Linked DNA regions of Schizosaccharomyces pombe. Changing the gene in region 4 together with the main gene of any one other region gives a genetic interaction. Each region holds a gene or a part of one and is shown on either strand. Other genes may lie near its edges. The genes, in order: pmk1, rga6, rga3 and rga4.

Region 1 (4,680 bases), 1.1 Mb from region 4:
ATTTGTGACGTCGTTTTTCCCTTTTATTTTTCCCGTTAGCCTTTACTGGAATCAAGGTCGCCCGCCTTCTGCTTTATTTCATTGCTAGTAATGGATGCCATAGCGGCAATTGCCAAAATTTTCTCCTAAAAAAAACTGTTCCTTTTATATAGGATTTGCGCATCATGATTTGCTTTCCCAAAAAACAACGGAATCTGTACGACCTTTTTTGCAGGTATTTGTAAAGGCTTTCCCTTTCTATTGTAAAACTTCATTCGCGTCTCGAATATCATCTTACATATTTTTTCTGATTTATAAAAATATGCACATAATTTCATATTCGACCGCTTTGCATTTCATTATAAGACGCTTCTACTTGAAGAGAGCTATCCTTGTGCACGAATGTTGTTTAATTGTTGCAGGATACAAATTCATGACTGATGTATTTATTCATCTATTTTGTCTTGGTTAGTTAGTTTTGTGATTTCATTGGGATGTTCCCTAATAAAGGAAATTACTCTACCACAGATATACTCGTTCACTAGTAAAAGTAATATTTTTAAGTAATTAGCTGTTCTATTTATATATTTTTCTAGTTGTAGTACGGGTGTATATGCATGCATGTATGTATAACAAAATGTTTCAAGCTGTGAGACTATAAAGCGTGCAAGAAAAGGGAGCACAAAGATCGCCAAATATTATATGCAAAACAGTAAATGAAGGACTAATGCAAATGAGTATTTTTTATGGAAATTAAACGAGCAAACAGAGATTCGACAGTAGCCAGCAAAGCTCAAAAGATAGCAATAGCTAATTTATGTAAAAATGAGAAAACGCAATGAATGATTTGTATGCAAATGTTACCGTAAAAAGGCTCAATAAAACCAGCTGCTGCCAATGTATTAGTTATGGCGATTATCATCAGACTTATGGTCTATAGCAGCAGTTTCATTATAAGAATGATCATGGCGCTTTTTGTTAGAGGTTTGAGAGGATGAAGAGCTACTAACATTGAAAGAACCATTGTCATTAGATGGAACGGTTTGGGCTGGTTGCGGGATGTTGACTGTTGGGTTTGTTGGATGAGAGCGGCGTCGGACTTTCTGACGGAAGTTTAAAACTTCATCTAAAATGACACGGCGTAACTCATTTGCATCCTCAATGTATTCAAAGCTGAAATCAAAGACGGAATCACACACAGGTTCGTCAGAGGGATCATGCCAAACAGCTAAATAGGGATGTTCTAAAGCATCGTCAACCGAAATACGTCTGTTGGGGTCGAAAGCCAAGAGCTTAGCAAGCAGGTCAAGAGCCAAAGGATTGGCTTTAGGAAAATTGGTTTCAAAAGGAATAGGTCTTTGCTTTGGCAAGCTTCGAACATACTCCTGTGCACGGGAACTGCTTATATGAGACAGGGTTTCCTCATCAGGTGTGCCAAGTTGATGCAAAATTAAATTTAACTGATGAACAAAATCTTTTCCCTTAAACAAAGGGGTTCCACCTAATAGCTCTGCCAAAATGCAACCAACACTCCAAACATCAATACCTTTATGATAGCTGCTGAACGAAAGCATAATTTCCGGAGCTCTGTACCAGCGCGTTGCCACATACTCCGTCATAAAACCAGGATTTTCTTCTGGATTTTCAGAACATCCGCGAGCGAGGCCAAAATCGCAAATTTTCAGCTCACAATCAGCGTTAACTAAAAGATTACCTGGCTTTAAGTCACGATGAATAACGTTGGCAGAATGAATATACTTTAAACCACAAAGTATCTGGTAAATGAATGATTGAAAATGCGCATCCGTTAATGGCTGACCGGATTTAATAATAGCATTCAAATCGGCCTCCATCTATTATAATAGTTAGTAAGTAATTATACAAATATTTCCGTGACTAAAACAGACACCATATGTGGATCATCGCGTAACATACCAACTCTTCGTAAATGTAAACTTCATTAAAATTGTATGGATTTATAATGTCGAGATCGTAAATGCAAGTAATCTACCATGTTAGTAAAGTTTATAAAAAATAGGAAAGACATCACTATGCAAATGTAAGACAATGAGCAGTTCAAATTTTTTAATCAACCGAATTCCAAACATTATATCAAGATTTATAAAGGAAATACTTTTCAAGGATGATTAGAACTCATTTCTCATAGAAGACTTTTCATTGTATAAAAATTTGCATTTTCATCAAAATGCACCTCGTTAATACATCCCGGTGATGATGAGTAATCAATCACAGGAAGCCGTTTTTGCATAAAAGACTTACGTTACGATGATTACGAAAATGAATCAGCAGTTTTATCTCTCTCAAAGCTCTTTTTGTAAGAATGGATTTAGAAAACACATTCGTAATTTTTTTTATGGCTACAGCCTCTTGATCTTTGCTAGCCACGTTTCTTGCTGCACAAACAATGCCGTAAGCGCCTTGACCCAACTCCTTCACTACCTAAACTATGTTAGTTTTCCTAAAAGTTCAAGCAGATGCGATTTTCTGTCAAGTAAACAAAATGTTTTGCAAATGCAGCAGTTACCCAAATATCTCATACCTTAAAATTAGGCTCGACATACATCTCCTGGTTAAACACACGGTAAACACGATGTCGACGGTCCATCCTTGCGACTTATAGCATGCAACTTGAATTTTTAGCTGTTTGGCAAAAGGGATGTGGAAAAAACTACAGTACATCACTTGTAGTGATTAACGATGCCTTATATTTCACTATTTGAATGCAAGTCGGTTAGATTTGAAGACTATCAGATGGAATTTATGGTATTAAAGAATATGCATACAAATCTAATAAATATATGAGGAATACTAAAAGAAACTAGGTCCAGAGTTCAAGACTACCAAAAGCGTCAACAATAAGCACTATAGCGTACGGTTGGTACAAGAAGGCCATGTCAACGATGGGGTGCAGACGATTTTCGCTAGGTAGATTCTTTTGCTGTTGAAGGAATAGAAGAGGCCTTGACACTCCCGAAGACTTTGGGCGTACATTCTGTTGTTCAGAGACTTTTTGGTAGATAGGAGGTTTGTTATGTATTAAAGATAGTTTTGAACTCTCGGAGTCGTTGGTCACCGACGAACTAGCAGAGACATTGTGGGGATTCCAAATAAACGCATGAGGGCTTCCAGAAGCGGCAATGAGAAAAAGTGGCTCTCGTTCGACAGAACCTGCAGACGGACCTCTGTACCTATAGATTGGACTAGATATACAAGGCCAAGGAGAGTCGAATTTGGTATTCAAATCTCTTAATCCCATGTCATTGCCAGAATCTATATCAAACTTTTTTTTTTCATTAAAAGCATCAATTCCAACAGATACCGGAATCGGACTGGTGAGTGAAGAATTCCAGTTTTCTAAGAAAACCTCTTCGGTTTTCCCTTTTTCAACGTCAAAATTTACTATGCCTGAAGCGGATCTGTGACTCGCTGGAACTGCATCTTCAAGATTAACTTCTTTATTATCCAAGTTGGTAAGGACGCTAAAACTGATACTGACTGTAGTGCTTCCAAACGAGTTTAACATTCCGTGATTTTCTAAAGGATTGATGGGAATAGTAGAGTTAATTGGCTGAGTACTACTTGAACTTGTACTTGAGCTACCTGGAACCTTGGTAACGGGACTATTGTTATTTCCGGAAGTATACTCATTAACGTTGCTACGTTTTTTGGTAACATCTAAAAGAAGATGCATCTGATCAATCCTGGCTGGCATATGCCAAGAGCATGATAATGTCCCAAAGCGGAGGTCCCAAAGTAAGAGCCATCCTTTGGTAGTCCCAATTAAAGCCCAATTACAACCCTCAGAAACTACTACACTAGTAGCTGACCCACACTGTAATGGTAATTGGTCTGATGACAAAACCCTCATCATTCCCACGTCTAAGTATACGATGCGTGACCATTTTGTAACAACGACTAGACGGATACTCCCGTCGTGAAATGTAGAAGCTTCCATGGAGGTTACAGAATCACTGAAATCCAAATTGGGAATACGACCAGCCGAAATTAGAGTATGCCGCTGATTGTTAACGTCAAGTCTGTGAACTTCCACAGAGCCATCTTGAGTAACAGAAGCAAAAGCGTATGTATTACCTAGAAAGCATCCATTGACCACAGAAAATCTATTCCTCTCGCCATTACGTCGCGTATGCCCATAACTTAATCGGCATTCACATCTCATAGTTGAAATATGACGAACACTTTCAACTAATTGCCATGCTCTTACAACACCGTCAGATCCCAAGGTAACGAAAAAAGATGAATCTGGACTAACCAAAACTTTCTTCGTACCTCCATCAAGAAGGCTTCCTAAATATATCTGAGCAACTCGTGATCCTTCTGGATGCCATTCATGAGTCTGAACTATTTTATTCGCAGCCTTCGCAGACACCTTTGTTCTACGACGCAAAGGTATATTAGAAGCCCAGCTTGGTGAAACAGCAGCACCAACGTTAAGTGTCGAAGCCGCTGCTTCTGCATAAATTTTATTTAAATAATTTAAGACGCATGGATTAGTTCCAGTATACGATGATTTTTTTGCGCCATTTTGCCTCGTGGTAAGCTTTTTCAAATCGATATGAGTAGTAAATGATCTTTGGCTTCGAATACCGGCAACATTAGTTGTATCATTCGTTGAAACCCTAGAAGAGATCAACGGTGCGAGGCTTTTCCCCTTCGATT
Region 2 (5,260 bases), 1.3 Mb from region 4:
TAATGCTATTCAAAAACTTCGCTGTTTAATTTTAGATGCTCCTGTTAGCGTGCAAAGTGAAATGACTGCCTGTCTAGCCGTTCTTGCTTTAAGTGACGAATTCAAGTCGTATCTTCTTAACTTTGGTATTTGTAATGTTTTAATCCCATTGACAGACTCTATGTCGATTGAAGTCCAAGGCAACTCTGCGGCTGCTCTGGGTAATCTTTCTTCTAATGTCGATGATTATAGCCGGTTCATAGAGTGTTGGGATTCTCCAGCTGGTGGCATTCATGGTTATCTGGTCAGGTTTTTAAGTAGTGAAGATTCTACTTTTGCCCATATTGCTGCTTGGACCATTGTACAATTACTAGAGGCTGGTGGTAAGTTTTTTTTAGAGAATTTATTGACGATTTTGTCTACACACGATATACGGAATATATTCTTTAGCTAACTCATTATAGTTCCACGTTTAACTGCATTTATACAATCTAGCGACGATATCATCGAATTACTTAATGACATAGTTGCTAGAGATGCTAATAATGGAGAGTATGAAGATGGTGAAGGCGATGTTATATTATTATCTGGCCGGGCATTGCATTTAATTGAACAGGACACAGATTCTTAATTTTTATTTTTATTGGCACATTATATTACCCTTCATCTCTTTATATTTTTACCGTCTCAACCCCGTTTGCCAGTTCGGAAGTCTATTTGACTTAATGACATGAATCACATTTTATTAATGATTAGTTTTTTAGAAGATGATAAAAGTTCGTCCGTAGTTGATTCCAAATAATAAACTTATCCCTTCAACACCTGAATAAAACATGTGACATGGAAAAACTAACATGCATATCTTAATAAATACTACTATGAAACCAAAAAATATCAAAATGAACCTAAACTTTAAGAGCAAACAAATGGTTGTAATATATGATAAATAAATGACACCGAAAACAGAAATCCTTTCTTAAGATTTCTTCTTGTTTGATCGGAATTTACCAAACAGTTTTGTCCACAAACTGACCCTTGGAGATGCCTTTTTATTAATCTTCTGCGATTTTTTATTGGTTTCCGAAGAAGCAGTAACAGTGACCGGTGACTTTGCGACGATCGGTTTTGTATTGTTCACGAATGGCGGTGATGTGCGAGTTGACGGTTTACTATCTGTAGCAGCTGAAATAACCGACCGCGATGAAATGTTATTAGCAAAACTCATGGAAGGAACAGCAGTATCAGAAACGGTGGAAATCTTAGGCTGGGGCTGTTGATTGTCAACAACGACTTTGGTACTCTCATTTGCTACAGCATCATCATTTTCTTGGTTACCCGATTCATTATCGGAAGAGTCATTGATTAAAGGAAGCTTCGAGATATGCTTAACATTAGGATAACTTTCCTCAGATGCATTCACATTTTCAGGTATCTGTTCTGGAGAATCTTCTTTCGGGACTGCAGGAGTAAAAATAGCAACTTGGTCAGTTAACCCAACATCAGAAAAACAATTGGGTATGTCGAGAGAATTGATTTTAAGTAGTACCTCTGGCCAGTGAATAATCAGTCCCTCTACAATCTTGGCTTCAACTCTAGCCTTTTCGGTTTCAAATCTCATAAGGTCATTCACATTTCCAGAAGGACAAGATTTCGAAAGATCAGTAGAAGAGTTACCCAACAATAAAGGACCAAAAATAATACCAAGGGCTTCCGGCTTCATCAAAGTAGAGTCTTTGGTATTTTCCATTCCATTTTCCAACTCTTGAGTCCGTGTAGCTATTTGATGCAATAATGCTAGTAGAGAGCAAAGGATAGAAAAGCGCACGTAAGAATCTATTTGTGAAAAGCAAAGAGCGGCCATTTCATTCCGGATGTCTATAGGAACCTTTACTCTACTTGAATCAACGTATAATGGTACTAAAAGATTCAATATATCTTTATGCGTAAAAAGGCCACCTGGCAATAACATAATGTACCGTTTTAAGACAGCTGCTATATCGATATAACTTGGAAATCCAATACGCTTAAAAATTTCTGATGTTTCATCAAGCCAAAAATGAGGTGGAGAATAAAAGTATTCTGTGATTGCTTTTATTACGGGACCAGAACCACTAATGCGGAAAATTCCCGGTACATGCAAAGCATTTAAAGATAGAAAATGTACGCATTGAGCAAAAATATGTGGGAGCAACAAAGAAGGAGGTGCACATTCAGGAGTGGGAAATGTAAATTTGCAAAGATTTGTGGGATCTGACGTTAAATCGCCGATAGGTTTACCAAATACGGAAGGATTATGAGCAATTGCATTATGTTGATGTGCATTACGATGAGGAAATTTAAAATAATTCGTTAAAGAACGACGATGCAAGCCAGTGGACTGACGTTTTGGAGAGTAAGTAAGAGAGGGGCGGCGGAGGATAGAGGACCAAGATCCCTTGGAAGGGCTTCGCTTTGGAGAATCTTGAGAGGCATTGAACTGTCTTTGAGAGCCAAATGAAGATGGTGGGTATTGGAGAGGTTCCAACGTATCTGATGAGGATAGTTGATTCGTAGCCGACAAGGAGGGAGAATCTTGTGAAGTTTGTAACTCGTGTGAAAGGGAGCTTAGATTTAGGGATGACCTCCCTAGAGGACCATTGTTTGAAGGTTTATCAAACCGAACTTCTGATACTGCGCTTTCTTGAAGGTAAAAGCTAACATGTTCTAGGGAGGACGGAGTATCTCTCTCTTCCAATAGTGTCGAGTGTATCAGCTTAGTAGGGGATCCACATGGAGTGAAATATTTATCAGTATGAGCATCTGGAGGTGAAGAACTTTTGGATTCATTAAATACGCTATCGTCGGAGTACAGAGATTGTTTAACCTCTTTTATCTGGGAAACGTACTCCTCGAGATTAATTTCGTGTATGTTGTAAGTCTGAGCTAGCTCACGAAAGCGTGACAAGCACGAATTTTGCTTAGTAAAGAAAGGAGCTTGCTGTCCCTCCAAATTGCTTGCAGATGATGAAATTGATGTGGAAAGGCCATTTTCCACTTTCGCTAACGATCCTCCCACCTCTAGCGACGGTTCTTCGAAACGTTTCTCATCGGTCTGCGCATTGCTAGACAAGACGACATCCTTGTGCTCTTTCAGGTCCCCAAGAGTTCCATTGTTGAGAGTCGAAGGATTTAAGGTCATACTTCTCCCAACAATTTCAAATTTTACTACACGAGGTTTTCGAGGCCCGTAAAAGCTATAAACCTCAATATATACTCTCCACTGATAGAATTTTGAAATAAATGTCGATTAGAGAGACGTTGGCTTTGGTAAGAACCGTTCTACATCCGTTACTTACTAAGAGGTTCAGCCAAGTAGCAGGCGTTGAAAAGTAGAGTACGAGCCGAAGCGAAAGATAGGTGAACAAGTAGTCACATATTGAACGAACCAAAAACTCATCTTCTACACGGACTATTGTAATTTAAGGAAAGACAGCAGCTTTCAAACTCCCATGGTGCAGTTACTAATGGAAGTATTCCACTGAGAAATCTGAGAAGCAATCTTATTATTAGTTCGTAAGGAATTCAAATGTTTGGCACCAAAGCAGATATTGTTACTATATGAATTGATAATTTAAATAACAATCTCATGCTTAAACACACTTTCAAGCTATTGGAACATGAGACACAAGTATAAACAGTTCCATAGATGAGCCTCGCAATCGAGCGATTGTTTCTCGCTTAGATATAACTGTATTTTTTATGAGGGTACATGTGACTAGCAATGCGGTATCAAAAAACCAAAGGACAAAATACAAAAAACAGGATTAGCTGTTATCCAGAAAAGAATCAAATGCAAGCATGAAATTTTTTGAATAATTTTCTGAAGCACAAACAGCTCTAAGTATCAAACATTAAGAGTTGCGAGAACCGCCTAAATGGAACACTCGCTTTCATCATCATACTTGATGGTCTGAGATTGATCTGGAAAGTGGAGTGAACGAACACTAAGAATGAAAATGCTAAATTTAAATTGCTATCTATTAATATATAATTTTTCTTATCGTTTGACTTACACTTCCATTCTAGAAACTTGCAAATAGGGGCAGTAAAGATAGGCAGCAGAGGCCCTCAAAAGGACTGAAAAATTATTTACTTCACCCAAAAAAGCGTGGGCCAAGTTTATGGAAACATCTTAGCGAATATCTATCATCAAGACGAAAACAATTATCTCAAATGCAAACGGTAATAGAATGCTAACAAGCAACTATGATAACTATATAATGCTTTATAAATCAGTCTACCTTTTTTACCTCCAATAAACTACCACATTTCAAATCAAAATTTTCATACACCACATACTTTACGGATTTTTTACACATTAAAAACAAGTGAAGAAAAAACAATTCATTTAAAATTATATCTTAATCTATTTCGTAGAAAGGTCGTCAGCTATAGAGATCGCCCTAGGAGCGCAATCAAAATGATAACGTGGAATAAAAGAGGAAAATCTCATACATGTCTATCATTATCGTAGCAAACCCCAGAAAAGGAAAAGGGGGAAAACAAGCATAAGAATAAAAAACCAAAAGTTCGCACATATGTAAGACCCCCCAAAACCGAACGCATGTTCAGTTGAATAGCTTGGAGTTTAACAACGGCTGATTAGAGAGATATAGATTGACGACGGAATAAATCGAAAGAAGCAATCTAATCCTTGGAAGCAGTGTAGGCAACCAAGTCAACAACACGGTGGGAGTAACCCCATTCGTTATCGTACCAAGAGACGAGCTTGACGAATTGAGGAGAAAGTTGGATACCGGCAGAGGCATCGAAGATGGAGGAGTGGTTGTCACCACAGAAGTCGGTGGAGACAACAGAGTCCTCGGTGTAACCCAACACACCCTTCATGGGACCCTCAGAGGCAGCCTTGATAGCAGCCTTGATGTCCTCGTAGTTGGTAGGCTTGGCCAACTTGACGGTCAAGTCAACAACGGAAACATCGGGGGTAGGGACACGGAAAGCCATACCGGTAAGCTTACCGTTAAGAGCGGGAATAACCTTACCGACGGCCTTGGCGGCACCAGTGGAGGAGGGGATGATGTTGGCGCTGGCGCCACGACCACCACGCCAGTCCTTCTTAGAGGGACCGTCAACGGTCTTTTGGGTGGCAGTGGTAGCGTGAACAGTGGTCATGAGACCCTCTTCAATACCGAAGGTGTCGTTGATGACCTTGGCAAGGGGAGCCAAACAGTTGGTGGTGCAAGAGGCGTTGGAGATAACCTTCTCGGAGGGGTTGAACTTC
Region 3 (7,569 bases), on a different chromosome or scaffold from region 4:
CACAGTGAATAAAAAGAAAGTCCAAATAAAGGTTATTTTCGTTATAATACAAAGATGTCGTAAAGAACGACGATCAAAGAAAAACAAGTGAGCAAAAAGGAAACTCTAAAAAAAAGAGAGAGAGAGAGAGAGAAACTCTCCGAGTATGTGTGTGTGTATGTTTGAGTCTCTTTTGTGTATGCGAGAAGAGAAAGACAGCAGGAAAATAAAGAAGAAATAGAAATAGAAATAAAAAGTCAAAACTATTTATTGTAGCTCAATGAAAGCCAGTATCTCACGCTGACCAAAAAAAAAATGAAAAGAGAAAGAGAGCAGAAAAAAAAAAAAAAAAGTTATTGAAAACAAGAAACAATCAAAACCATCTATTTCAAGATGACATGTATGACAAAGAACGCTAGTCAAAAAAAAGGCAATTCATACAAAGAAATAAAAAAAAAAAGAGAGAGAGAAAACAAAGGACTCCTATAATCATAAAGCAAGATTACCAACAATGGACAGAGATGGATAAAGAAAACCAATGGTGGAACAAAGACAAAAAAAAAAGAAAAAGTGGAACAAAACAAAATGCGAATCAAAGAAATTGAACAGAAAATTGAGCAAAAAAAACTTTAGTTCTGAGACAAACAAACAAAAATTTTCATCTTCTTTAACTTTTTCTTTCTTTTTTTTTTCTTTTTTCTTTTATGTTTTTATTTCTTCCATCCATTATTGATGTCTCGTTTGAATCCCTTTCTTTCACCCACCCCTCTCTTCCTGCAGTCTTTTTCGTCATGCCATTACCCCATCTTTTCAGGTAGCATCGACTCAGCCTTGTGACTCCAAGTGTGGGGAAGCGAAGGCGGAGAAAAAAGGGATTAGGAAGGGTGTCGATCATGACGCAATGCCATAACATCTCTGATGCACAACACCGTATTATAGACTGACTAAGCTTGCCGCGGAAATCAATTAATTGTCAAGAAGGCAGAAAAAAGAAAGAAAGAATATAAAACAACAACATAAAGCAAAAATAGAAAAGACATAAAAAAAAGACTGACCCTCTAAAGTCTTGTTTCCTTTTTGTTTTTCTCCTGGACAATTAAAACGACGCTTGTTTTCCGTGCCATACTTGAGACTGCGATACCACGGGATGAACAGCCTCTTCTAAACCAACCTGCCATTTTCTCTTCTTTTCCTTCATCCATCCATCAATCATACTTCGTCCTGCTTACTTGTGTGCTCCATTGCATTATCACCAAACCCTCCTCCTCCTCTTGGCCTGTTTCGTAAACCCACTTAACGGATCTCGCCGAGGTACACACTCACGGAAATATGCTATATGGGTGGTGGAAGTGAAGAGGTTGGCGCCACGATTGCAGTGGATGACGATGCTGGATAACAATGGAGTTGCGGGTGAAAGGACGAGTAAGGCACACTTACATTCAATGTAGCAACCCAATACGTATGACATTTGGCCACAGCAAGGAGATAAATAGAAGGTTGGGCACTAAGAGTGAAAATTCCATTCCCAAAATACAGTACATATATATTTCATCCTTCGTAATAACAAATACCGAATCGTATTCATATCCACCCTTATTGATCATCAGCGAGTCAAGCTAAATTACCCACCCACTGACAATCTAACAACAACAATAACAAAACAAACAATAACCAATTGAGTTGAAAATTGTTATTGACAGTCCAATCCAATCCAAATCCAAATCAATTTGAAATTGAATTTCATCCAATACTAATTGACTAATCGAATTTCTTCAAATCCACCGCAATGGCAAATCGTTTTACTTCTAGTGATCAAACTCAAGAAACCCATGGTCATCATGTTGACAAACACTCCTTCTCCGGTAGACAACGCCATCCTTCGATGGGCGTTCATTCATTCAACGAATACATGAATGAATATCCAGAGGCCGGACCTTTGGTCCAGGAAGAGGAGGATGACATGGAGAGCTCCAGCTACCATGCCACTCAGGAAGATATCGGCGACGATGACTCCAGGTCCGAGTCTACTCGCAACCGTTCCAGTCAACATACTGGCCGTGTTAATTTCTCGTCTCTTGGCGGTCTTGGCAGCATCTTTGGAGGAAAGAAATCACGCTCCAAGAGCGCTAATGGAACACAAAAGAAAAATGCAAACAATAACGAGGAACAACTTGATGAGGAAGAGCAAAACGATCCTTATCTTGATAGGGATATAAGCCTTTTAGGTAGTACTATTTGATTGCTTTTGTTTTTTTTTTCTTACTCCCTTGTAATTTTTATTTTTTGATTAGTCATACCCTGACTGACAATGTTGCAGATTACATTTAATTATGCCATCCATCCCCTTTCACGTTCACTGCCATTCATCCCTCACCATGTTCCCCATACCATTCTTTGAGATTTCGAGACATGATGGCACGACCGTAGTGTTTGTGTATGTATGTGTCTTTGATGAGTTGTTTATGTTGTGTTTATGTTCAAGTTATGAGAAACGAAATACTCGAACCAAATCGAGTTGAGTTCTGTTTAGTATCGTTAAAAAGAGTTTGTTTTCTTTTTTTTTTATCAAATTAGCATTATATTTTCCTTATTTTGCATCTCGCAATGCTTAATGGCAAATATCTTTATACAATCTCCATTTGCGTGCGTATTTATTTGTATCTGATGAGCGTGCGTGTGCTTGCCTGCTTGTCATAATGTACATCCTGTATTACCCAGTTTGAATAGTTCAGTCGTAAATGTAAGAGTGTTATGCTAATATCTTTGTTTTCCTTTTTTCATTAAAAAAAAGAGGTGTAAAAAAAGTCTCATTATTTCTTCGAAAAGTATTCCTTATTGAAGTTTGGAACACAAGTGGTTATTATTATCGTAAAGTTCCTTCTTCCCTAGAAAAATACAAGTTCCCCGATATTTTAATCATTATTCATAAAACAAGCTACAGATTATGAAGAATCTTATCCACGTTATCAAGCATAAACTGAAGAGCCGTACTCTTTTTGGTAGCATGCTGTAAATCAAACCGATTCACCTTATCTCGCATTAAAGTAGGTGCAAATACTGTAGAGACATTTTTCGAGTTCATCAAATTTTTCTCCGCGTGCTTGCATACACGACCCAAATGTGCAATCAAAAATCGAAATACGCTCAAATGTGCAGGATGAAGCGTTTTCATTACTTCCACTACCCGTTCAATTTTTTCCTCTTCCTTTTCGATTTTTTCCGCTTCCAACAACTCCTCGTATTGAGTGCCAGGTATAACTGGTTCCGGTAAGCGATGCAAATATGTTTTCAAAACCGACGTACAGGCAAACAAGTCAGAAGTCAAATGCTCCATTCGGATAGACCCGTTTTCAAATTCGTCGACTAACACTCGGACCTGAGAAGCACTGCCAGATATCCTATAAATACCTTCAACCTCCAATCCATGCGCATCCACGCAAGAAACGCACATAGCAATTACTTGAGGCAAAACCGACCCTTCAATTTTCAATTGATTTTCTAACGATCGTCCAAACATCGTTGGTGAAGGCCCAGGAGGAGGCATCCTCGTTGGCATTTCCGGCATCCATTTACTATTTTCACTTACAGTTTCACTCATTGTTTTCTCATGCTCCGACTCTGCAAACAGCCTTTTTAAACACCGCGAATGGCATGAAATTGAGCAATGAAAGCAGCGGAGTTCAGATCCCCATACGCTCTCCGAGCATATATAACACCTTGAGGGCTTGAATATGGCATTAACATGAAACACATGGTCACATTGAGTACGATCTTCATTTCCTACTACAGGATCGGCAGACTTTGATTTAGTATGCATTGATTTGAACGGGACTTTACGGTTTACATCTCTTGGTTGCAAATGCATACTTCCCTTTTTTCCCTTAATGTCAATTCTCGTAGTCACATTCAAATTTGGTGACAACGGACCAGGTCGACCTGATGACTGCCCAGAGTTGCTACTCACGGCAGTAAGTGGATTAATACTGCTGGTTGTATTTTTGGAAGATGTGGTAATAGTATGCTCCAAATTGGATTGGTTTTCAGGAGGTACTCTATGCTGAATTTGTTTTACCAAATTGTTGTTTAAGTCGGCCAACTCGAGATTTTTGGTATTTAGGTGTACAGATGCTTCAAGCGATTCATTTAAAATTTTTTGTACATTATTGTAATCGTCAAGCAGCTCATTTCTCCTTTCCAAAAGATTGTTTATTTCAGTGCCGTAACTCTCACGAAGCATTGCCATGTAAGCATTGGCGGCAGCCACCAAATCCTGATGTTTCGGATCTTTCAGCGTGGGATCATCTGTCACATCAGCAAACGAAAAAAACTTTTCACAAATTTCAAGTTTAGCCGAACGAACAGTATCCTTATCTTCCGTACGAATAAACTTAGAGTTGTCAAACGTAGAACTTGAGAGCCTTTCGGACAATTTTTTGGTAAGAGCAGTAAGATTTTCCAACTGTTCACGCAATTCTTCAACATCCGAATCTCGCTCTGATTGTGCTGGAGTTGAAGAATGATCGTTTGTCGGTAAATGGTACTCTCCATTAGATCCCAGCGAAGGAACGAGTGTTTGCTGAGAAGTCTCAGAAAGAGAATGCGAATGCCGAAAACTTTTATGGCCCCCGCCATTTGGTTTGGGAGAAAGAACCTGAGGCGGTGAAAGTAGCTGCGCAAAAGATGAAAGGTCAGATGGCTGAGAAGAGGTTTTTTTATGGGTTTGGACATTCGGTGAGCGGGTTCTCGGTGAATGCGTATCACTCGACCTGTAAGAGGGAGAAAAAGGCCGAAAGGGAGAGGTGGCATTGTGAAGAGAACGCATATGTCCATTCATGACAATTGGCTCTGCTCGGTCAGTCAATGACATGGTTTTATAAGGAGAAGCAGAGCCAGCAAAGTCGTCCAGGGCTTCCTCATTAATTGTGGGTTTTAAGCTGTCCGAGGAAGAGCTATCGTTAACAGGAGTAAAAGATTGTTTGTGAAACGTATGGAATCGATTCTTCCAAGTATTTTTGCTTAACGGAAATGTGGCTGTAGGAGACTCAATTTGTTGCTGCTTGTTAACTTTTTGTAACGGAGATATAGAAGGTGAAATAGGAAAGAAAGAATCGTCATACTTCATCGGCGATTCAAAACTCGTAAACGAGGAAAAACTTCGATTTTTGGCACTAGGCAGCAGCGAATCTGCAGAATTAGACGCAAGATTACTATCCTGTCCATCGTTCGGCACATTACCCCCTTCTGCCTGACTCATGTTAGTCGGTGTTTCGCTAACTAAGCGGTCTCTGCTTCCACCAAAAGGTGATAATGGTGGCTTTTGAGGAGACATAATTTCAATGCTTAAAGACTTATTAGATTCCACTGAAGACTTTGTCTCTGTGGGCTTAATCGTGACATCAACCTCAAAATTGTGATAATCAGCGCTCTCGTCTGAAGACCTGGAAGGGTGACGGACTTGTTTACAATCATTACAAAATATAGTCCTATTATCTCTTTTAAAGTTAGAGTCAATTATTTGCTTTCGGCAATCATGGCAACGAAAACACTCTCTGTGATAGGAGTCGTAGCCTGACATTAGGGCATAGTCCTTGATCCTCATACGACACGCTGTACAGGTATGGGCGCAAGAGCTACACACCGGTCGTCCATCAGAGGTTTGCACCAGCATTTGATCACTGTGCTCCAATCCTTTATCGCACTTCGTACAGCAGAAGCAATCCTTATGCCACATATGACCCCCAAACGAAATAGGTGTCTCTCTACGTTGAAATGCCTGTCCGCAGCGAAAGCATACTGTGCTTCCCTTGCTTGATGGAGATTTGGAAATACTTTTTCGAAATATCATCTTATCGTATATATGCTCTTCTTATTTCCTGCTAAACGTTATGAACTTCAATCTAGCGTCATGAATTTGGCTTTGTTGATTTTTATTTTCACAACGATTCCTTTGGGTACCTATTTTCATTCCTCAGCTTCCCATCAAGTAAATGAAAATATTCCCAATTTTATGATTGAAGTTCGAAACAATTGGTAAATGGCTAAGGAATAATTATTACTGCAGTTGTTGGCATCATTGCCCAGTGGAGCGGTGAGAACGGCAGTAGCGAGTCGTTCACTCTAATCCCTTAAAATTTGCATGCGTCGTACACATGGCACTATGGTCTTTGGCTTGCCTTGCCCTAGCCTAGCGAAACACTATGGAAATTATCGCCGTGTTCTACGATATGGTGCGTAAAATTGCCAAAAGTCACATGGTTTATTACGGGAGTTTAGACGAAACGGGTGTTATGAATAGCTATTAAATACGATTATAATATTACAGATAATTAATTTTAATGGGTTTGGCAGCGTTTCCGCTCTCTAGGCTTTTCTTTCCACTCAAAAATGGTGATATTTGTGAAAAGGGAAATTGCCGAAATTAGAAGGAAAAAGGAAAATGAACTGTTTTTCTGGCTTAAATAGCTTTACCTTTAGAAAAAACCCGCTAAAAAATGGTTAAAGATATATACATTCCTGATCAAAAAACACAGAGGACAAAAAAAAAGAAAAAATTTCGGTAGCAACAGGAGTAAACAGAAGGAGAGATGCTTTCTAGAGAAAAAAATTTTGTAGACGTTTGTAGCGTGAACGGTCGGATCGTCAAATAAAGGGACAAGAGAAAATGCTCGTTTCCAAAAAGTGTAGAATTTATAAAATGTGTATCTCAAATAGCGGGGTCGCTATAATTGATTAAGTAACTATTGCTTTTAAGAAGGAAGTAAAGGCTCCTAAAAAAAATTTTTATAGTTGTGGTGCGAATATTGGGACAATTATACGGAAGAAAGCAATCAGTTTTTAACAAAAAAAGTTTCAGAATATTGTGAACACTGGGACTCATCATTATAAATGGCAATAACTGATTGCTATAAAGAGGAAGTATTAAATTTTCTTTCTAGGAAAAAACAAACTTGGCAGAAAATGACGATAAAAAGAAAGGATTGCTATCCAACACAGAGGCAGCGCTAAAAAACAATTTATGTTTTTGTAAAGGCTTCAAGACTGTAGTTCGAAAATGAAGACATCTATTTTAAAGGGAGTGACAACTCCCAAGAAGAGACAGGTTTTGCAAGTTTCCTTTCAGGATCTTCTGTACTATTTGGAAGATTAGACAAATCATAGGATATTAACCCTACATATCCGCTTTCAAGTTCAGATACGACTTCAGCTGCACCCGGGGCATGGGAAACAACTGGATCCTTGTAATAATAACATATAGGTTGAACTTCATCATCACTATCGGAATGTTCGTCAATGTTGTGCAAGCTCTTGGAAGTTATTTTAAGAGTCGTAAACACGTCGGAACCTTTTAACTTGTCTTTCATTCGCTTTTGAGCCAGCAAATTACTAAGTGGTATAGTTTCAAAAAGAGCGTCCTCTGTCGACATCTCATCGGTTAAATGCAGCACATATTTCCAAACAAAGCTTTCGTAGTTTTTGGATTGAATCATGTCGTAGGCTTCGACGCTGTCATCAATTTCCACAAGACTTTCTTCTGCGACACTTTCATCCATGAACATTTGAGCATTATCAGGATACTCAGCCTGATTAACA
Region 4 (5,856 bases):
CAAGTAGGCATTCTATATGTTTGGGCTTTTGACTTCGAAGAAGAATGTTGTCAACTCGTTTAGGAATTGCAGATGAATTTTTTTTATAAACAATCGCCTTTGGCTCTAGCATTTTGCTGTGCAGCTTACAATGGGTTAGGATAACCGGTCTTTGGTCAACTGGTTTTTTTATTTGAGACTTTGCGACGAACCAGCCGGCTTCAGTCGGGCCCAAAATGCATCGTTTAATAACATCTGCCATTAGTAAAATTCCGTAATTTTGTTCACATAGATAATAAAATATCCTGCTTAAAGACCCTCTTTTCTCAAAAAAAAGTGGTAGTAAAACAGGAGTTGGTTTTTTGTTAGACGTTCGAAACTCTATTTAACCCCCTTCAAAAAATTTACCATATAACGTATATAATTTTTGTTTATAGGAATTGCTTTTGGTTTTTTAGAATTCCATTAAGATAATGGGCATGATATATCTACAAAATCACTTACTCACAATACGTTGCACTAGCATTTCCTAAGTTAGGGATCTTGGGAAAAAATGCTTCTTTAAATCCTTGAAAGCATAATAAAATTAAAAAAAAATACAAATTTCTCCTTTTTTATACATGCAATTGCATTTTATTCATAGCCTAGCATTGTGAGTAATGCCAAGTAGACTAAAACAGGGAAATGATTAAATAAAAGCGATGGATGTCAGTCTGCAGTGATAATGCATTATGAAGAAGCTATACGCCAAATCCATAAAACACTCATCTGCCACTGATTTCACGATGACATCTAAAAATGACCAAAAATGAAACTATCTTAGCAAATGCAAAAAGGAATCTCGATATAACTGCCCAAAGTTATGGTACAACTACTAAAACAACAAAAAAAGACGAATAAAGAATATAAAGGAACGTGCAAAACAAAAGAGCGAATTATTAAAGGATAGTGTGAATTTAGGCAAAGACTTCATGTACATGATCTATCAAAAACGCAAGACTGTAATTCTTAACAGTCATGTCAATAACGTCTCTGGAATTATCGGGGTCGCGTATTAATGTTGGGGAAAATACTACTGCAAGGTTCTTGGATGTCATTCGATTTGCATGACTATATGCAGCAACCCTTGCTAAATGTCTAATAATGAGCTGCAAAATTTCAGCATGAGCTGGAGGAAGACTTTTGATGACCATTATAAAACCGTCTAATTTATCTTGGAAAGAGGCACAATTTGCTGCTGTGATGAACGGAAAGTATTGGTCATAGGTAATAATTGGATTAGGAAGGTTGCGAAGATATTGCTTGAATACAGAAGTGACAGCAGAAATATCCTCACTTGGATCAAGTACCGTATCTTCATTTCTTAGTAACGCAACAATTTTTTTCATTTGAGAAGTTGCCCCTGATTTGCGATACAGACCTTCAAAATCCATGCCGTATGACTCGATAAAATTTATACAAGAAACGATAAGCGTCGGGACTCTCAAGAGTGTTAGCCTGTTTTGATCGAAGTCGTCAGGATTCAAAGCCCAAACAGGAGATTCGCTTTTTTTAGATTGATACTGACGATCTATAGTAGAACTAACGCAATCCTGATAATGTGCTCTAAGCTCATTGGAGTATTTACCGCAAAGTTTGCAGTGACCGACCGCTGGAACGAAATCCTCTTGTTCTTCAGAAGCTAAATGTTCTTCAGAAATACTGGGAGTACTCGACATGTGAGGAGAATCTCTTTTCCAATGAAACCGTTTAGAAAATGACTTCTTAAGATCTATTTTAGAGTTCCGTTTGTTATACCCTCCACTCTCCTTGTCTTTATTGTCTTTGGGTCTAAATCCAAGGCTAGATGCAACCATTTGTAGACGCGAAAACGATTCTCGCGGAGACGGGGTTGAAATCGTTCGGTTGGATTTTTTATCATTATTAAATATTCCGAAAGAGGAAGAAGTTCGCTTCTTATGCTGCTGCTCCCTCAAGTATGCCAATTCTCTCTCCAATTGATTGTTAAGGCTTACCAGTTCTGTGTTCTTAACATTCAGATATGCGGTTTCTTCCATTACAGTGCTGTAAGCGTTTTGCAATTTAGAGACAGTCGTAGACAAAGCGTCTCGCCTCAAAAGTAAGGTAGACAGTTCAGGTTGAAAAGATTTCCGTAAATAATCTAATCTATAATTTAAATCTGCAACCAACTCTTGCTTGAAAGCTTCGGGGGACACGGGAGTCTGCTGCTCTATGATAGAAGCCAACGAAGTCGCTTCCAACAATAAGGTTCCAACCTCAGCTTGAAGCTCTGAAATACGAATGGCGAGTTCATTTGCGCTTTCCTCTGTAGCATCAAATACGTTTGAAGTAAACACATCACTTGCTCTAACCAAAGAACTTCGATTGTATTCAGGTTCACATGCTTGATGCAAACTAACTTGCGACAAATTTAAACTTTTGGCCCGCGGGGAAGCCTCATAATTTGAAGAGTTCGTCAATCTTTTCTTCAAGCCGTTTGGTTCGCTACTAAGTCGTTTGTCATCTAACTTATTAAATACCGTAGGATATCTAGGAAATCTAGCCTTTGTAGGAGTTTCGTCGCTTTCCAATCCGTTAACGTAATATTCGTCAAGATTAGATAAACTGTTTCGATTTCTAGGAACCTTTAAATTACATTTATTTGTGACATCACGAAGAGCACCCCTTAAATGGATAGGAGATAGAGCTATTCTGCCAGACACATATCCATATTTAGATGGTGATGTTGTTGTCGAAACAGATTTGTAATTCATAGTAGAAGAGCGGCGAAGTGGAGGAGGATTAACAACGCTTTCATTTTTAGGAAGTTGAGGAAGCGTACCATTTTCGGTTGGTGATTGAACAAAGGCGTGATAAGCAACAGGTTGCTGCACGCTATTATTATTTACTACTGAGCTTTGCCTTGAAGAAACTGGTTCAATTGGTATCGAACTTCCAGAATGAAAAGAGTCACACGAATCAAATGGAGAGGCATTAGCTGAACGAAATGAGGGACCATTAGCTAGTGGAGAGGGAGAGGTTTTAACGAAAGAATTTTTGGGTTTAAGTAAGAAGTCCTTTTGGATGTCTTTGTAAGATTTTGCGGAGTTTATATCACCAGGTGTTTCATAACCATTAGTTTGAACTTTTAATTGAGGACGGAGAGAGTTTGTAGGAGAGCTGGTATTTTGCATTCGACCAGATAATACGGAGGATGGAGAATCAGACGCTATAAAATGCGGGTTTTGAAAGCCTTGGTTTTGCCCTAAAATTAAAGTTAGAAACATAAAGACAATATCAATAAATACTACATAAGCAACAAACTTACCAGTTAAAGAAGTGTTTTCCGCAGTTTGTGCGATATTCCTAAGAGGAATAAACCCTGATGCGCTTTCCATAACAGCCTTTTGATTCTCTTCATCTTGTTTACGCAAACAAGGAAGGCAGTAATGTTGACCTTTGAACTTGCCAAAAGCATTTGAATTAATGAAAGCTCGACAATTGGAGCAACAAGGATGATTAGCTTGACTATTGCTTACTGCGTTGAACTCGCAAATAGGAGTTGAGCAACCGTTGCAGATATCAACACATAATTTACAGAATATTTGCTTTTGATCGTCTTGAGAAAAATCTTCAGAGGAAGGGTCTAATTTTTTGTTGCAGTTCACACATTTAAAACTAGCAAACCGTCTTAATTAGTAAATCAAAACAACAAGAAGCACAAACAAGGGTAATCTTTGGAGCATTTTATATTTTTTTATTCAATCTATAAGAAAAAAAAAAGATCCAAAAATCCCAACGTTTGCATTTTCAATCATACCAATCGGAATGCCAACATTTCCCACCGAACCAAACTTGAGAGGTACTGGGAACACTCTAGAGCAAAAGTTAGTAAATGCCGTTCATTACAGCTGGGAAAAAATAAAAGAGCAGTGTCCAATTTCAAGACAGGGTCTCGTTTTGTGAAAAGACCGCTCTCCGGACACGGCGATTAAATTTTGAACCTCACATACTTCCCAACATTTAATACAAAAACAAGTACGTTCGGATGGCGTCTCCAAACTAAGTCTGTCCAGATGAAGTGTCGTACCCGAATTCATAAGGAAATCAATATTCTGAAAATTAAAAGAAAGGTGTTTCCCAAGAGAATGGATAGGTAAATTACACCAGCTCAAAAAATGAGCGGCAGCTAAGATAGAAAACTCTTTACGGTTTTATTCAAAGTTTGTTCTTGATTAAAAAATAAATAAAAATACCAAGGCTTTACAACATTTGCTAGCTCTTTTAAACTCGTAGCCGTTTGTGGTGGAGGTCAAAGAATAGGACCTTTGTTTATATAGAAGGCTACACTGGCATTTGTTCCTTTTGTTACCGCTATGGCTTTGCAGCGAATAAACCACCAGGTTTCGATCTAGCTATTATTAATATTTGCTTATTTTCCAGATTCTTTCTATATCGTTTCCTTATGTTTCATACTTTGTGTAAGTGATGGTTGCTTCCTTCATATTATTTTGAGATTTTGAAACATTTAAAATGATATTGCTTATACAAATTTATCGAGATTTATTGTACGACTAAAAATGAACTATACAACATTCCCCCTGTTCATCTTTCGTTAGTGTTATTAGCAATCCTGTCAGCGAGAACGAAGTATTGCTCGACTCTTGAGAAAAAATAAGAGTGGCTTGTTTCTGTGCTACTTGATTAGTTCGTTCAGTTAAGCGTAATATAATTTGTATAAAAAAAACCGAAGAAACCCAATAACCGCAAAGGGTGCATTACGGTTCACACGTCTTTTTTTATAGTCGAACGACGTCTTTATGTTTAACAACTCTTGTGTAATCCCTTTTTGTTTCTTTAATTTACTAATTTAATCATCATGCATTCCAAAGAAAGTGGATGGATTAACTCAATATCGTTTTCTCATCAAATACGATTCTAATTAACTGGTCAAAGAGTGTTAGATGTCACAGCGTATAGCAAGTTGATTAATAACGGTTAGTGCCAGTTTCTACTTCTTTTTACTGAAAAGATGTTTGTTGTTATTATATCAATCTAGCTGTGTTTATCGACGTTTTATCTTTTGTTTTCAATGACAATTTATTAACAAAATAAGAAATAAAAAAGGCATACGAACAGTGGTTGCCGTCCTGCACAAATCGTTGAACTGCTTAAAGTTTAAACTTGTCATGTGCTTCAAAATTCTGCGTGGATCACGTTCATTAAATTATATTGTGCACTTAAGATGTGTATCAAAGTTGATACAGTGGAGCACTTTTGATTTTCAAAAAATTTAGTTTCCGAATTTAATAACCAGCTTGAGTGTCTGTTATGGACATAAAAAATATAACGAGAAAGTGTGGTGATCTATGGGCAGGTCGATGACTGGATTCTGACTTAAAATTCAATTAGCAAACAAATACTTCGGGATGTCGTATCCTAATCCTTCAGCTGTCTTAATGAATAAAGATCGGACGGCCCACAAATTTTCGGAGAACTTTGATGGTGTGCGAATGAGCACGTTGTGCCCGTAACAGTCAAAAGGAGTAGTTGAGAATTCAATGTAACTATTATAAAGTTTAGTTACACGTTGGATTTGCTCTCCTCGAAATCCAATGAGTTTTTTGTGAATCTCCTCTGGAACGTAAAAGTGCATCTCAGCTGGAAATTCAAGCAACATTGTGTTCATTCCTTTAATTACTCTTTCCAATTCGTCACTATATATATCAACCGTGAATATACTCGTCGACTGGGGACAAAACAAGATGTCCCCATTCTTTAAGTTGAAACGGCATTGCTGCTTTACCTTATCCAGTTTTCCATTTTTTTTACCGGATATGAAATCTTGATCCTTGGTTGGGGCTTCAAGCAGTATCT

The links.
Region 1: mutations in rga4 (region 4) and pmk1 impair growth when combined (synthetic growth defect), as found in Schizosaccharomyces pombe (2 studies listed by BioGRID, with this or other methods).
Region 2: of rga4 (region 4) and rga6, changing one enhances a phenotype caused by changing the other (phenotypic enhancement), as found in Schizosaccharomyces pombe (2 studies listed by BioGRID).
Region 3: of rga4 (region 4) and rga3, changing one enhances a phenotype caused by changing the other (phenotypic enhancement), as found in Schizosaccharomyces pombe (one study listed by BioGRID).

What each region holds. Positions count from the first base shown.
Region 1 is NC_003423.3:728,785-733,464, reverse strand, and holds pmk1 (MAP kinase Pmk1), read right to left. Parts: upstream 2,650-4,680; 5' UTR 2,606-2,649; coding exon 2,540-2,605; exon of another isoform or gene 2,440-2,539; coding exon 2,260-2,439; intron 1,987-2,259; coding exon 1,915-1,986; intron 1,833-1,914; coding exon 882-1,832; 3' UTR 513-881; downstream 1-512. Other genes in the region: serine/threonine protein kinase Vps15, read right to left, coding at 2,819-4,680. UniProt on the Schizosaccharomyces pombe protein: Regulates cell integrity and functions coordinately with the protein kinase C pathway (pck1 and pck2). Involved the regulation of wall architecture, cell shape, cytokinesis in exponential and stationary phase, and metabolism of ions.
Region 2 is NC_003423.3:579,144-584,403, reverse strand, and holds rga6 (Rho-type GTPase-activating protein Rga6), read right to left. Parts: upstream 3,260-5,260; 5' UTR 3,158-3,259; coding exon 956-3,157; 3' UTR 611-955; downstream 1-610. Other genes in the region: protein Vac8, read left to right, coding at 1-362, 444-610; glyceraldehyde 3-phosphate dehydrogenase Gpd3, read right to left, coding at 4,666-5,260.
Region 3 is NC_003424.3:5,123,015-5,130,583, forward strand, and holds rga3 (Rho-type GTPase-activating protein Rga3), read right to left. Parts: upstream 6,020-7,569; 5' UTR 5,825-6,019; coding exon 2,915-5,824; 3' UTR 2,219-2,914; coding exon of another isoform or gene 1,766-2,218; 3' UTR 1,600-1,765; coding exon of another isoform or gene 1,378-1,599; 3' UTR 314-1,377; downstream 1-313. Other genes in the region: SPOM_SPAC29A4.22 (uncharacterized protein), read left to right, coding at 1,378-1,599; protein mug108, read left to right, coding at 1,766-2,218; RNA polymerase I upstream activation factor complex subunit Rrn5, read right to left, coding at 7,041-7,569. UniProt on the Schizosaccharomyces pombe protein: GTPase-activating protein for Rho-type proteins.
Region 4 is NC_003423.3:1,837,846-1,843,701, reverse strand, and holds rga4 (Rho-type GTPase-activating protein Rga4), read right to left. Parts: upstream 4,287-5,856; 5' UTR 4,080-4,286; coding exon 3,993-4,079; exon of another isoform or gene 3,856-3,992; coding exon 3,800-3,855; exon of another isoform or gene 3,658-3,799; coding exon 3,308-3,657; exon of another isoform or gene 3,245-3,307; coding exon 936-3,244; 3' UTR 515-935; downstream 1-514. Other genes in the region: protein Cbp7, read right to left, coding at 1-241; SPOM_SPBC28E12.02 (BICC1 family RNA-binding protein), read right to left, coding at 5,384-5,856. UniProt on the Schizosaccharomyces pombe protein: GTPase-activating protein for Rho-type proteins.